Saccharomyces cerevisiae S288C: one gene and its partners. Changing the gene in region 2 together with the main gene of any one other region gives a genetic interaction. Each region holds a gene or a part of one and is shown on either strand. Other genes may lie near its edges.

Region 1 (4,452 bases), on a different chromosome or scaffold from region 2:
AGTGTTATTGAAACGGAAGAAGATGATGAACACCATGAATCAAGCGGGGGAGATCATCCAGAGCCTGGTGTTCCAGTAAATACCACCATTAAAGTAGAGCGTCCAATGCACAGAAATAGAGCTATTTCCATGCCCCAAAGACAGTCATTGAGGCGTGCAATTAGCGAGGAGGTTGTCCCCATCAAATTTCCAAATAGCACAGTGGGTGAATCAGTTCATTCACCCTCTCCTATTGAGCATCTTTCCGTTGATGGCTGCGAGATTATGCTGCAATCACAAAATGCGGTTATGAAAGAGGAATTACGGAGTGTTGCGTCGAATTTGGTAGCCAATGAAAGGGATGAGGCATCTATTAGACCTAAACCTCAAAGCTCTTCGATATACCTATCAGGATTAGCTCCTAATGGGGAATCCGCCACAGATTTATCCCAAAGCAGTAGGTCGTTATGTCTCACAAACCGTGACGCTGAAATCAATGACGATGAAAGCGCTACTGAGACCGATGAGGACGAAAATGACGGTGAAACCGATGAATATGCTGGCGATGATACTAATGATGATACTGATGACAGTAATATTGGTTATGCTTATGGCAGTGAAAGTGATTATTCATGTTTAATTGAAGAACGAATAAGAAATCGAAGGCGAGCATCTTCTACTCTAAGTTGCTTCTCCAATATACCTTACGGAACGGATGATATTAAATGGAAACCAGCTATTAAGGAAATTTCAAGAAGGCGTTATTTGAGGGATTCTCTGAAGTGCATCAAACCATTTCTAGATAGTAACGACTGTTTGGGTAAGGTTATCTATATTCCAGTTTCGGGACCAACCTTTGAAACAAGTAATAAAATTCACTTTAGCAACCGCCAGAGCTTACAGAAGCAGAAGAATCATTTTTTAAAAGGCTTCATCGTGGGACCTACGGCGTTGATAGAACTTAATTGTAAAAATAAGAATGCAATTGTTGGAACAACAAAGGACGCTGAAGATCATGGGGAGGACGACGGTGACGGTGATGATGGTGAGGATGATGATGACGACGACGACGATGATGATGATGATGACGACGACGAAGACGACGACGATGATGATGATGATGATGATGACGACGACGATGACGATGATGATGGACAGATTACTGCATAAGCTGTGATGCAGTAATCTTGTTTTTGCAGAATTAATATCATGACTAAAAGTATATATATTATCATCGGATATATGCTACATGATGAGGAGTTTTTCTATTTCTTTTTTATTTCATTCTATACACTTTGGATCGTGTTTTTTCTTTTGCACTTGAGTTTCTTTTCAACATTATCATTCGGTATATTTCACGATTTTGACACCGATGTTTACATAAAAGTGGGTAATTATATTTTGCATTTTCTCGAATTGAGTAAAAATAGTAACCTTTTAAAGAATTCTTCAGAAATGTTAAAGCATTTCCGATTGGCATCATTGATGTATATGTACGTATATACTCAGATGATTTGCCCCTCGTTACTTGGCATCAGGAATTAGCAAGGGCTGTAAAAAATAAGTTTAAATATATATAAATGGTTGCGAACTAAGACAGTATTGTTTTCAACTATTACTTTGTCATTGACTAGTCTATACAAACTAATGATTTTCTACTAGGTCTTACTTCGATTTCTCGACACCGTACTCCAAGAGCTAAAGCTTTCAATACGTATGGATTGCTTCGTTGCTCAGAAAGGTTAACATTAATCATTTTAAGGTTTTTGTTTATAGACAGTACTTTATTTTCGCTTCATTTTTCCAGTTTATATTTCAATTTAACAAAGGCAATGCCTCTAATTTCAAACAAGCAACATAATACAGTATTTATTGATCAACGTTTGATTAGAAGTTGAATTTTGAATGGGTATCGTCTGGTAATTCCAAAGAATAAAAGAAATACCTGTTTTACCATGATAAACAGTGTTTATTATACCACGTTAAAAATCATTTCTTGAAGGTAACGCTTTCATCAACCTATAATAAGACTACAGAAAAAAGCTCATAAAAGAATGCTAAGTAGCATAATGTTCTGAACAAGAGCTCAAAGCAAAGGACACAGTACACCTGTGTGACGGTGAGTTTCCTATTGCCTTCTCTTTTTCCGTTTGTATTAATCTTTTCAAGAAAAAGTTCATTTCCAAAGTGGCCATTTTCGCGATGCACATCAATAATGATAAACACCTTTATTGAATAATAGCGAAGCAAATAGCAGATATTCCCAATAAAACAGCAAATTAATAAAAGGGCATAGACCAAGGAGTACATGCTAATGCTATACCACGAATTGAGGAATTAGAAAGAAAGTTAGCCAATGGACCAGCTAAGTGACAGCTATGCTTTGTACAATCAACCGGTAGTGATCGACAATGGTTCTGGGATCATAAAAGCAGGATTTAGTGGTGAGGAAAGGCCTAAAGCACTGGAATATTGTCTCGTAGGAAATACCAAATATGATAAAGTTATGCTCGAAGGTCTGCAAGGAGATACATTTATTGGAAACAATGCCCAAAAACTGCGTGGATTATTAAAATTACGATACCCCATAAAGCACGGCGTGGTGGAAGATTGGGATTCTATGGAACTAATATGGTCATATGTGTTAAATGAAGTCCTACAGTTGCAAAATATAGGTGAGCATCCTTTATTAATTACGGAAGCCCCGATGAATCCTTTGAAGAATAGAGAGCAGATGGCTCAAGTATTGTTCGAGACCTTTGACGTATCGGCTTTGTACGTTTCAAACCCTGCTGTTCTGTCATTATATGCTAGTGGGAGAACTACAGGTTGTGTAGTTGACTGTGGTGAAGGATACTGTAGCACTGTTCCCATATATGACGGCTTTGCATTACCTGCGTCTATGATGAGGATGGATATTGGAGGAGCAGATATCACAGAGCAGTTACAATTTCAACTACGGAAATCAGCTGGTGTTTCGTTGTTTTCCAGCAGTGAACGAGAGATTGTTCGCACGATGAAAGAGAAAGTTTGTTATTTGGCCAAGAATATTAAAAAGGAAGAGGAGAAATACTTACAAGGTACTCAAGATTTAATCTCGACATTCAAATTGCCCGACGGGAGGTGTATAGAGGTGGGGAATGATCGATATCGTGCTCCAGAAATATTATTTTCACCTCAAATCATCGGCTTAGGGTACGATGGATTATCTGATATGTGCATGCAATCTATTTGGAAAGTCGATCTGGATTTAAGGAAACCTTTACTGTCATCGATAATCCTAAGTGGCGGAACTACAACGCTTAAAGGCTTTGGAGACCGAATGCTATGGGATTTGGAGGCATTAACCAAAGGAACATCCAAGATAAAGATTATAGCCCCTTCAGAAAGAAAATATACTACATGGATTGGTGGTTCTATTTTAACGGGGTTATCTACCTTTCAAAGACTTTGGACCAAAAAGTCAGATTGGCTAGAGGACAGTACCCGTGTTTATTCGAACCTAATGTAAGAAACAGAGTCGTTAGATTTTTCAAGCATATTTGTTATAAATAGCCATTGATACGTTTATATTATTTTTACAAAAAAAGGTAATTAAACATGCATGAACAACAAAATTGATAGTAGAAGAGACGGCAACAAAGGTTTAAAACGAGAAAGGAAATTTAAAACAGTAGAAACCAAAAGTTGATATGCGGCTTCAGCCGTTCTGAACCTTCAAGATGGTGTTCGGGTGTGATTTATTTAAACACAGTAGTATCTGTCACCAAAGTCACCCAACCCTGGAACTAGATACTTGTTTTCATCTAGACCTCTGTCGAGGGCACCAGTAACAATTCTGACCTCTGGGAAGGCGGCATGGTATTTTTCAATCCCTTCCTTACTACAGATTAGGTTTAAGAAGTAAATTCTCTCTGGCTTAACACCTCTCTTAATCAAGACTTCTGTAGCCATGATAGCACTACCACCGGTGGCCAGCATTGGGTCTAATAGGAAGACATACCTTTCAGATATATCCTCTGGTAATTTTTCGTAGAATAACTTTGGTAAAGCAGTCTCCTCGTCCCTTTGAATTAAAATTTTACCGATACGCACAGACCTACAACAGTCTCTTAATCCTTGCTCCATCGATTCACCAGCTCTGACAATGGAAACACCACAGATTTTACCCATGAATGAGACACCTTCGAAGTTTTCGTTGGTGTCAGTTTCCACAATTTGCTTTTGCACAGGTAGATGGTTCAAACCTTCTTCAACCAACAATCTGATGATTCTATCGGAGTAGAAAATGAAATCAGGTCTAGTTGTATTCTTATTTCTGATGATGGTGTACAAACCCAGCAATTGGTTTGTTTGAGGTAGCAAGTAGACGTTCTTAAATGGTTCCGAAGACATTTTTTGCAGATTTCTAGGTTTGCTAACGAAAGACCCTTTGTTTGGATAATATATAAGATATGTAAGGTACAAGAATGG
Region 2 (5,308 bases):
CGACGCCGGCGGCGACTTCATCATCACTCAGATGTTTTACGATGTTGATAATTTCATCAACTGGTGTTCCCAAGTTAGAGCTGCGGGCATGGACGTGCCCATTATTCCCGGGATCATGCCGATCACTACCTACGCGGCCTTCTTGAGAAGGGCCCAATGGGGCCAAATCTCCATCCCTCAACATTTCTCGTCCCGATTGGATCCTATCAAGGACGATGACGAGTTGGTCCGTGATATCGGAACTAACTTGATCGTGGAAATGTGTCAAAAATTGCTCGACAGTGGTTACGTTTCTCACTTGCACATCTACACCATGAACTTGGAAAAAGCGCCTCTCATGATTCTGGAAAGATTGAACATTCTACCTACGGAATCAGAGTTCAATGCACATCCATTGGCCGTGTTGCCATGGAGAAAATCTTTGAATCCAAAGCGTAAAAACGAGGAAGTCAGACCTATCTTCTGGAAGAGAAGACCTTACTCCTATGTCGCAAGAACCTCTCAATGGGCCGTGGACGAATTCCCCAACGGTAGATTCGGTGATTCGTCTTCTCCTGCGTTCGGTGACTTGGATCTGTGTGGTTCAGACTTGATCAGGCAATCAGCGAACAAATGTCTCGAATTATGGTCCACCCCTACTTCCATCAACGACGTCGCCTTCTTGGTCATCAACTACTTGAATGGAAACTTGAAGTGTTTACCTTGGAGTGATATCCCCATCAATGATGAAATAAATCCAATCAAAGCACACTTGATTGAGCTGAACCAGCATTCTATCATCACTATAAACTCTCAACCTCAAGTCAACGGCATTAGGTCCAATGACAAAATTCATGGTTGGGGACCCAAGGATGGTTACGTTTACCAGAAGCAATATTTGGAATTTATGTTGCCCAAGACTAAGTTGCCCAAGTTGATTGACACCTTGAAAAACAATGAGTTCTTGACCTACTTCGCCATCGACTCTCAAGGTGACCTGCTAAGTAATCATCCAGACAACTCCAAGTCCAACGCTGTGACTTGGGGTATTTTCCCCGGCAGAGAAATTCTTCAACCTACCATTGTCGAGAAAATTTCGTTCTTAGCGTGGAAGGAGGAGTTCTATCATATCTTGAATGAATGGAAACTAAACATGAATAAATACGATAAACCGCATAGTGCCCAATTCATTCAGTCCTTGATTGACGATTACTGCTTGGTCAATATTGTTGACAATGACTACATTTCTCCAGATGATCAAATCCATTCCATCCTACTAAGCCTATAATAACACAGACAACGATAACAGTTCTTTAACAGAATTGTCAACCCCCCCTCTTTGCATTACATTCAACATTACATTGCATTTTTTTTTTTTTATTCACTATTATTATGGTTCTTCTTTTTTACCAGATTTTGCTCCTTCCTTTTCCATTGTTTTACCATTCTTTTTTAACTAGCATTTCAACATGTGTTTGGTTAACACCCCTTCTTTTTTTTCAGGAAAATCCTTTCATTTCTTCTCATACTTTCAACAAAGTTTTTTAAAGGTACTTTAAAATAGTTCAACACCCTCTTCCTTCATTTATTTATTCTCTTCATATTCAACATACTCGAAAAGGAAGAACACTAAAAGTACTTACATTTTCACATGTATGTATACCTATATATATATATATATATACTCTTATAGATATATTTACAAATTAAAGGAAAAAATAATAAAATAACCTCCCTGTCACAAGTTAAAACACGGCCCCATCACTTATAAATAGTCTCGACTCGTGTTTTTGACACCAATTAGCTACTTTTCTCGCACTCTTGAATAAAACCCTTTTGTCAACAATCCCATTATTTCCAATCAGATACAATTCAAAAGTGGGCGTCACCCACGCCATTCCTACCATATTAACCGATTCTTGTTTGAATGATGAATTTCCAATAATGTACTCATCCAATTCAGAAAAATCCATTTGTGTTTCGTCCATCGCCAAGTCCTCATTGTCTTTGGAACTCCATCTAACAAAATTTAACATAGACCTACTTAACAAATTGCCATTATCTCTCACTACCGTGCCATGTAACTGTTGGTAGTATGTCTTCAATTTCAATTCATATTCTAGCCCCTGTGAAGAATCCAGTGCGATGTTACTGTTGACTTCGAAGTGCGGCATAACATATTGAACGTTTTGCTTCGATTTATATATGAAATGATGAACCATTGGTGCTGGTATATCGCTAAGCTTGAACCCTTTTGAAGTATTTATCTTTTTCAATAGCTTCTCTTCTTCGAGTTTAATAATCAACTCGTCACTAAACGACTTCAATGAAAAGAATGCATCCTTTTGTGCACTTATTAATACTAGTGCCGATTTCTCATTGCTGTGAGTATCATTAGGTAGAAACTTAATATAACAATAAAGAAAACCACTCGAATTGAACTTGGGAAAACAAATGGGTACCCAAAGTTCCTGAGTTTCGTCTAAATTTTGAAATTGATGAGATATTAGGCAAAATAGAAGATGTAAATCTGTAGTGTGTAAAGTATGGCCTCTGGGTCGAAGAACACAGCACAATTTATTCTGAGGCGCAATTATCAAGCCGTACAGTAAGGTCCCCCTGGGAATGTCCTGCCTTTTCTCCAGTTGCTGTAAAACCACATTCTGCAACTTTAATCTTGAAGAATGGTTAAATGGTAAGCATTGTAAAGAGTTCAATAGTAAATCCGGGAACATTCTGTTACAGATTAGTGAACATATTTCGTCTAAATTTTCAAAATCTGTGCTTTCTAGATAATTTCTCAGGTCGAAATTTTCTCTTTTGGAAAATAACCTAAGTAATTGGCGTTCACTTAAAGACGAAAGAATATACGAATATAAAAAATCCAACTGATTCAACAATTCGTTCGAGGACTCGCCTCTTTCGGATTGAGCCATTAGTAATATAGGTGATTTATCCAAAAAAGTAAGCCTTTTACCAGAAGTTAAAGTGGATATAGTTTTCAATTCCGATGGTCCATTGACTTGGAAGTAGCTTATTACCGTATTAACGAGCCCTGTATATGACATGATCTGTTCATCTTTGCCGTGCATGCAATAGATCGGTTTACCCGCTGACGTGAATATGAAGAAATTTTTGTCACAGAGAGTCTGGCTCTCATTTAACTTGCAGTTACTATTGAACTTCGAAAACTTGAATACATTAGGAATTTCGTTACTTACGTACGGCCGTCTCTGTAGTTCCGATCCTCTTATAGATGTTTCCATAGAATATATGCTTTCGGCCAAGCGACTCCTGATGTCATTCTCGCTGTCCAAATAAGGACCGAAATCCTTTTTTGGACTGTTTAGTGCTCTCGTTGTATCATCATTGCTCTTTGCCAAATCTGCTGACAATAAATTATTTTTAGCTTGCAATTTTTTTGTTTGCAAAGGAGATCTTCTGGATGCCAAAGATGTTGTATTCAAAGAATTTACAGAGGTAGATTTACTAACAGAATGATCATCGCATATTGGCATTGCTATAGGCGCCTTCTTGAAGAATGTTTCATCTAGATTAACCGATGTCGTTGGTTCTGAAGTCGTTGCCACGATTGGAATACCCTCAAAATTCCCACTTTTACTATGCTTCAATTGACCCTTCGGTATCTCAGCATCTAGGTAGCTTTCATTGAGATTCATAGTTCCGATGTACTGATTCTACGTTTGTGTACTTTGATAGACTTTTTTATTCAATTCGTATTCACTACTATCTTTGTCTCGTACCGCGGTTTTTATCCTTTATTTCAGCCCTACGAGATAGAACGATGGAGCCTAGTAATACCATTTTATGTAAGCAAAATAAGAAGAAAGACTAAAAGAATTAGGATATGTTGTTAATCAGGGATAAAGGTACGCATACTAGCCTTACTACGTAAATATAAGGTTACGGTTTACGATCACTATTGCAAGATACTATTGTTTAGCATTGGCAAAGACTTGACGGGAAATCTTTGATTGGGCCCAACCATATTCATTAAAGATCCGGGATGTGAGCTTGAACTGCTTTTCGACGCGAAGAAGGTTTACACGTATTTTAGTAATTGGCTTATTCACTAAGGATTCTTAAGGTTTTCTTAATAGTTTTCTACGTCGGCATGCGATTGTTTGGTTTAGAAGACTGCTTTCTAAATATGGTTGGGTGTATTTAAGCTAGACCCATACACCCGCTCTATGGGATTATTTACTTGTTTGAATTTTAAGATTTGTGATAATGGAACTGGACGCAAACATTTGATGGAAAACGCATGTCATCATTAACGAGGTAACGTAGGTATCTGTCCTGCCTTAGTATTGCACGCAGCTTCCCAGGACGCCTAGCTATTTTTTCATCTATTCCCCTCTGTAGTAACGTAAGAGTTTTCAAGTTTTTAATTCAGACTTTCTCTTCCTTTGTTTCCAATTTCCTTCCTTACTGCTTGATACCTTTTCAATCCCAAAGAAACCGTGTTCTTTATATATTGTCGATTGAAAGTTACCTACATCAACTTTCCGTGTTCCATTCCGACTATAACAAACAACCAATAAGCTCAACTAATTAAGTAATGTCTGCTCCAGAAGCTCAACAACAAAAGAGAGGTGGTTTCGGTGGCCGTAACAGAGGCCGTCCAAACAGAAGAGGACCAAGAAACACTGAAGAAAAGGGATGGGTTCCAGTTACCAAACTAGGTAGATTAGTCAAGGCTGGTAAGATTACCACCATTGAAGAAATCTTCTTGCACTCTTTGCCAGTCAAGGAATTCCAAATCATTGACACTTTGTTGCCAGGTTTGCAAGACGAAGTCATGAACATCAAGCCAGTTCAAAAGCAAACCAGAGCCGGTCAAAGAACCAGATTTAAGGCTGTTGTCGTTGTTGGTGACTCTAACGGTCACGTTGGTTTGGGTATCAAGACCGCCAAGGAAGTTGCTGGTGCCATCAGAGCTGGTATCATTATTGCCAAGTTGTCCGTTATCCCAATCAGAAGAGGTTACTGGGGTACCAACTTGGGTCAACCACATTCTTTGGCCACCAAGACCACTGGTAAGTGTGGTTCCGTCACTGTTAGATTGATCCCAGCCCCAAGAGGTTCTGGTATCGTCGCTTCTCCAGCTGTCAAAAAGTTGTTGCAATTGGCTGGTGTTGAAGATGTCTACACCCAATCTAACGGTAAGACTAGAACTTTGGAAAACACCTTGAAGGCTGCTTTCGTTGCTATTGGTAACACATACGGTTTCTTGACTCCAAACTTGTGGGCCGAACAACCATTGCCAGTTTCTCCATTGGACATCTACTCCGATGAAGCTTCTGCT
Region 3 (4,209 bases), on a different chromosome or scaffold from region 2:
ATTCTTCCACCGAAGCGTGCTAAAGATTTGAGCTATACTGTAATGACAATAGTGTACAGCCCATTTTTGTTGCTTATTTCTGTTAAAGAAACTCGGGAGGCTAGAAGGATAAAATATAACAGGATGAAAAGGTTAAACGATGATGCCAATGAATATGATACTCCATGGGATTTGACAGATGGCTACTTGGATGATGATGACGGTTTGTTTTCTGATAACCGAAATTCTGGCATGAGAGCCACCCAGTTAAAGAATTCCCGTTCGCTAAAACTGCAAAGAACAGCAGAGCAGGAAGATGTCCATTTTAAAGTCCCTAAGAAGTGGTATAAAAACGTTAAAAAATGCAGTCCCTCCTTCGAACAGTATGATAACGATGACACTGAAGATGATGCTGGTGAAGATAAAGATGAAGTCAAAGAGCTCACTAAGAAAGTGGAAAACTTGACAGCTGTAATTACCGATCTACTCGAAAAATTAGACATAAAGGATAAGAAAGAGTAAACGACATGTGTTCAAATACTGCTTAATTAATTTCTCAGAAATCCATATATATATATATATATTGCTCCTCATTGCAACTTTGTAAATTTAATGTTCCTTTAATTTATCATTATTTACAATATTAACTAATCCATCTCCCGATTTTCGGCATAAAATAAGTTTATATTTTGGTCTACATGAAAACAAAAGTTTAACTAAACTAACGTGTACAAACCACTTTGAAACGTATATAAAGGTCTAATAAAAACGACTGGCGTTTTGAAAGATAATATAATGATCTAATGCAGTTAAAAAATTTACAAATTATAAGAAGAAAAGAAAAACAACGATTACGGTAAAAAATGAAAACTCCCTCTCCTTTCTAGGTACGATAAATTATGACTTTCATCTTTCCCGTTTTGAAGATCTATTTATCTCAATTTGCCCAGACTTTTTTTTTATATATATTTATTTTCCCCTCTCTAACAACTGCAAGCACTGTTTGCGCTGGTCCCATCATTAGCAGCGTTCAAATCCACTCTTTGATTGTTCGACTCACGTTCGTTACTTGCACTATTTTGCTCTTCAGCCGTCTTCAGTGGTATCTTTTCACCGATTCCCAAAAATACATCGTTAACATTCTCTCCTGTCTTTGCACTTGTTTCAAAGAACAACAAGCCCTTTTCTTCCGCTAGCTTTTCACCTTCTTCCCTTGCGACTTTTCTTTCCCCACCTTCTTGCAGCATATCGATCTTGTTACCAACTAACGCAATGATGATATCCTTTGATGCCTGTTCATGTAATTCCTTAACCCAGTGGCGCGCTTTAATAAAGGATTGTGGTTTTGTAACGTCGTATACTACAAGAGCAGCTTGTGCGTTTCTATAGTACATAGGTGCTAAAGATGCAAATCTCTCTTGCCCAGCAGTGTCCCATATTTCAAACTTAACAGTATGTTCATTTATAGTAACTCTTTGAGTGAGGAATGCTGCACCAATGGTGGGCTCCTTATTTTCGGCAAAATCATTAGATACAAACCTTAGGACTATTGACGATTTACCAACTGCTGCCTCACCCAACAGTACCAACTTTATGGAAGTGACTGATGTGTTCATTTTTTTGTGTGATAAAAGGGATATTTTTTTATAGCTTAGATAAGTCGACGATCTTGCTTTTTATTTTTAAAATCGTTGCCACTTTTATAAGATAAGCTGCTCGTATTTTCACCTCACTTCTCTTTCTTTGTCTTTTCGGGGATATTGTTTTAGCAAAAAGCCCCATAATGCAAACCGAGAAAACCAAAAAAAAAAAAAACACGTATGAGGTGACAAGAAACTAGATAATCAGCAGACTAATATCTATAAAATAAATCCTCTGGTATATACCTACCTCAGCATAAGTTTATATCGTCATAATCTAGGTTTTGGCTTTGTTGTTGCCTCCGGGTTCATAACTATTGAAGTAGCATTGGAGACAATTGAGGGTGTTCCAGAATCACCAAAGAACGCCACTGTTACTGTCAAGTCATCTCTGTATCTTCTACTCATCGGCGATGGTATACTTACCAATGCCGATACATATTCTTTTCTTCCGCCCGCACTTAATGCATTTCTAATTAAATGAGTGGCGACGTTTTTGTCTTCAATAAGATACTCTGGGTTTGATCCTGATGGTGAGCTCGAATTATTATCCTTGTACCTGAATGCCGGTCTTTGTGCTTCCTTGTCTTCAGATACATCGATAACTTTTGGTAATTTCCCCGGTTCTGCCTTCACAGGTGCCAGATTCATATTTTTATCCATCCACCTGATAACCAAGGAAGCAATTTCTTCATTAGTTAGTAATTCGAATAAACCATCCGAACCCATCACCATAAATTTAGTGTTCTCACCAATTTTGGCAGAAGTAATCACTGGTTCCGCAGTGACATATGGGGGTGTCTTGAAATCCCTTGGCTCTCTTCTAAAATAAAGTTTGGCAACTTCAGGCAAATCCGATAATGGTTTTCCATCGACTTCTTTGATCTTGTAGCGATAGTCTCCAAATGCCCTGGATGGTTGTAATGAACCCAATATTCTTCCGTTTCTTATAACGTTTGGTTCTCCTGGATGTTCTTTCCTAATTCTCCGTACTTCATCCAAATTATCACCGGTCTGGTCGGTGGATAGCGACTTTACCGTCCAATTGCCCTCGTTGTCCAAACCACAAATTAAAGCCCTTGAGTCTCCAGTGACAGCCACTTTCAAAATTGAGTTAGTGGAGTTGTATAAACTTAATAGTGCACAAGAACCAGAAATCGCTGGTAAAGTGTTTGCAATATTTGTGTTGTTTGGATCTTGAAACAGCTTCCTGAACGATTCGATTACAAGATCATTATCTAGTTTCAAAAAACCTTTCGAAATTGCAGAATCGATTAATTGGTTGGGGTCGGAATGGAAAACCGTTTTGTTCTGGTCATATACCTGACCTAATTGATACGCTACATAACGGACTAGATCTTTAGATAATTTTTCCGAAGTGAAAGGACCACCATGTCCATCAAAAATTCCAAAAAAATACAAATCCTTCTCTATGGACTTGCCATCCTCACTTTCTATCGGAATGGTAATGATTTGTTCTACGTGATCGTCTTCTATTGGATGGTTAGAGGGCAACTGTGCCACATCATACCTGAATATACCAGTGCCACGGTTAACAAAATGGCTTTCCTCTCTATCATGTAGTTTAGCCTCTATTTTAGAATCGTTCAAGATAAGAACAGATTGGTCATTCTGAGACCGTTGACTCTTTTGTGTCTCTGTTCCTTTTGGATTAGGTGACGGCATGTTAATGTTACCACTAGTATTTGTAGAATAATCTTTTATTCCGTTAATTGTATCAAGGGAGAGGATCTTTTTAGGGGAATAGTAGGAGTAGGTCAACAGTAGGGACCCGCTTAGTAGAGCAATGTTTAGAGCTTTAGAATGTGATGATATGAATAGCTTTGTCCTTGAATAGTATGTGCTGTTGGCATGTGATGTTGAATATGCACGTTGGAGAAACTTCTGTGTGTATTCTCTACCAGATTGACATTTAGATAGAACCTTAACCGTTTTCTTTATAGCTACGGTTCTAGTTAAGGGAGACATGGAGAGATTGAGAGAAGTAAAAGCACTTCTTCTGTTGAAAAATTTCAGTAGAGCACAAATTCAATTAAAGTAGCAATAGATGTTTCTTTTCCTGCCTATCACACGATTTCGTTTACCCTCCAATCGATCCTTTTTTTCTTTTTTGTATCTTGTGTAGAAAGAAGTGAATCCTGTTTTTCTACATAATGAAGGGCCGGTAACTGCTCATTACTGAGTTTTAAAGTAGAAAATAAAAATGTATGCAATTGGTCGCCAATACCTGATAACTAAGAATGTAACTATGCAAGGGATAAGGAAATTTAGTCAATGCTGCCCATCACACCCTGAACAGCACAAGATTGCAACCTCTGAGAGTATTTCTTAAGTTGGAGACTAGTGGAGGAAATGAATTGGCACGTAGCTCGTCGAACATGATGAACTGTGATGATAATGAAAAAATTTTTGTTCCCCAGCGATGAGTTAGTGAAAATCGACAATATATCTTTTTTTAATCAATGTGTTTTACTATTTCTAGAAAGCAAGGGAAGCCACTCTATTAGTAAACCTCTGGGCTTTACACATATAAAATCGCAGGAAAGTTATATTTCGAAGATGCCACCAA

The links. Genes that interact genetically often act in the same process or in processes that back each other up.
Region 1: mutations in MON1 (region 2) and ARP1 are lethal when combined (synthetic lethality), as found in Saccharomyces cerevisiae (4 studies listed by BioGRID, with this or other methods).
Region 3: mutations in MON1 (region 2) and VPS21 together harm fitness more than expected from each alone (negative genetic interaction), as found in Saccharomyces cerevisiae (4 studies listed by BioGRID, with this or other methods).

Annotation. Positions count from the first base shown.
Region 1 is NC_001140.6:362,037-366,488, reverse strand, and holds ARP1 (actin-related protein 1), read left to right. Parts: upstream 1-2,335; coding exon 2,336-3,490; downstream 3,491-4,452. Other genes in the region: YHR131C (uncharacterized protein), read left to right, coding at 1-1,149; YHR130C (uncharacterized protein), read left to right, coding at 1,189-1,524; FUR1 (uracil phosphoribosyltransferase), read right to left, coding at 3,724-4,374. UniProt on the Saccharomyces cerevisiae protein: Core component of the dynactin complex which assists cytoplasmic dynein by increasing its processivity and by regulation of its cargo binding.
Region 2 is NC_001139.9:273,056-278,363, forward strand, and holds MON1 (guanine nucleotide exchange factor MON1), read right to left. Parts: upstream 3,660-5,308; coding exon 1,725-3,659; downstream 1-1,724. Other genes in the region: methylenetetrahydrofolate reductase (NAD(P)H) MET13, read left to right, coding at 1-1,267; 40S ribosomal protein uS5 RPS2, read left to right, coding at 4,562-5,308. UniProt on the Saccharomyces cerevisiae protein: In complex with CCZ1, is required for multiple vacuole delivery pathways including the cytoplasm to vacuole transport (Cvt), autophagy, pexophagy and endocytosis.
Region 3 is NC_001147.6:489,234-493,442, forward strand, and holds VPS21 (Rab family GTPase VPS21), read right to left. Parts: upstream 1,596-4,209; coding exon 963-1,595; downstream 1-962. Other genes in the region: YVC1 (Yvc1p), read left to right, coding at 1-501; type 2C protein phosphatase PTC5, read right to left, coding at 1,890-3,608; translation machinery-associated protein TMA46, read left to right, coding at 4,200-4,209.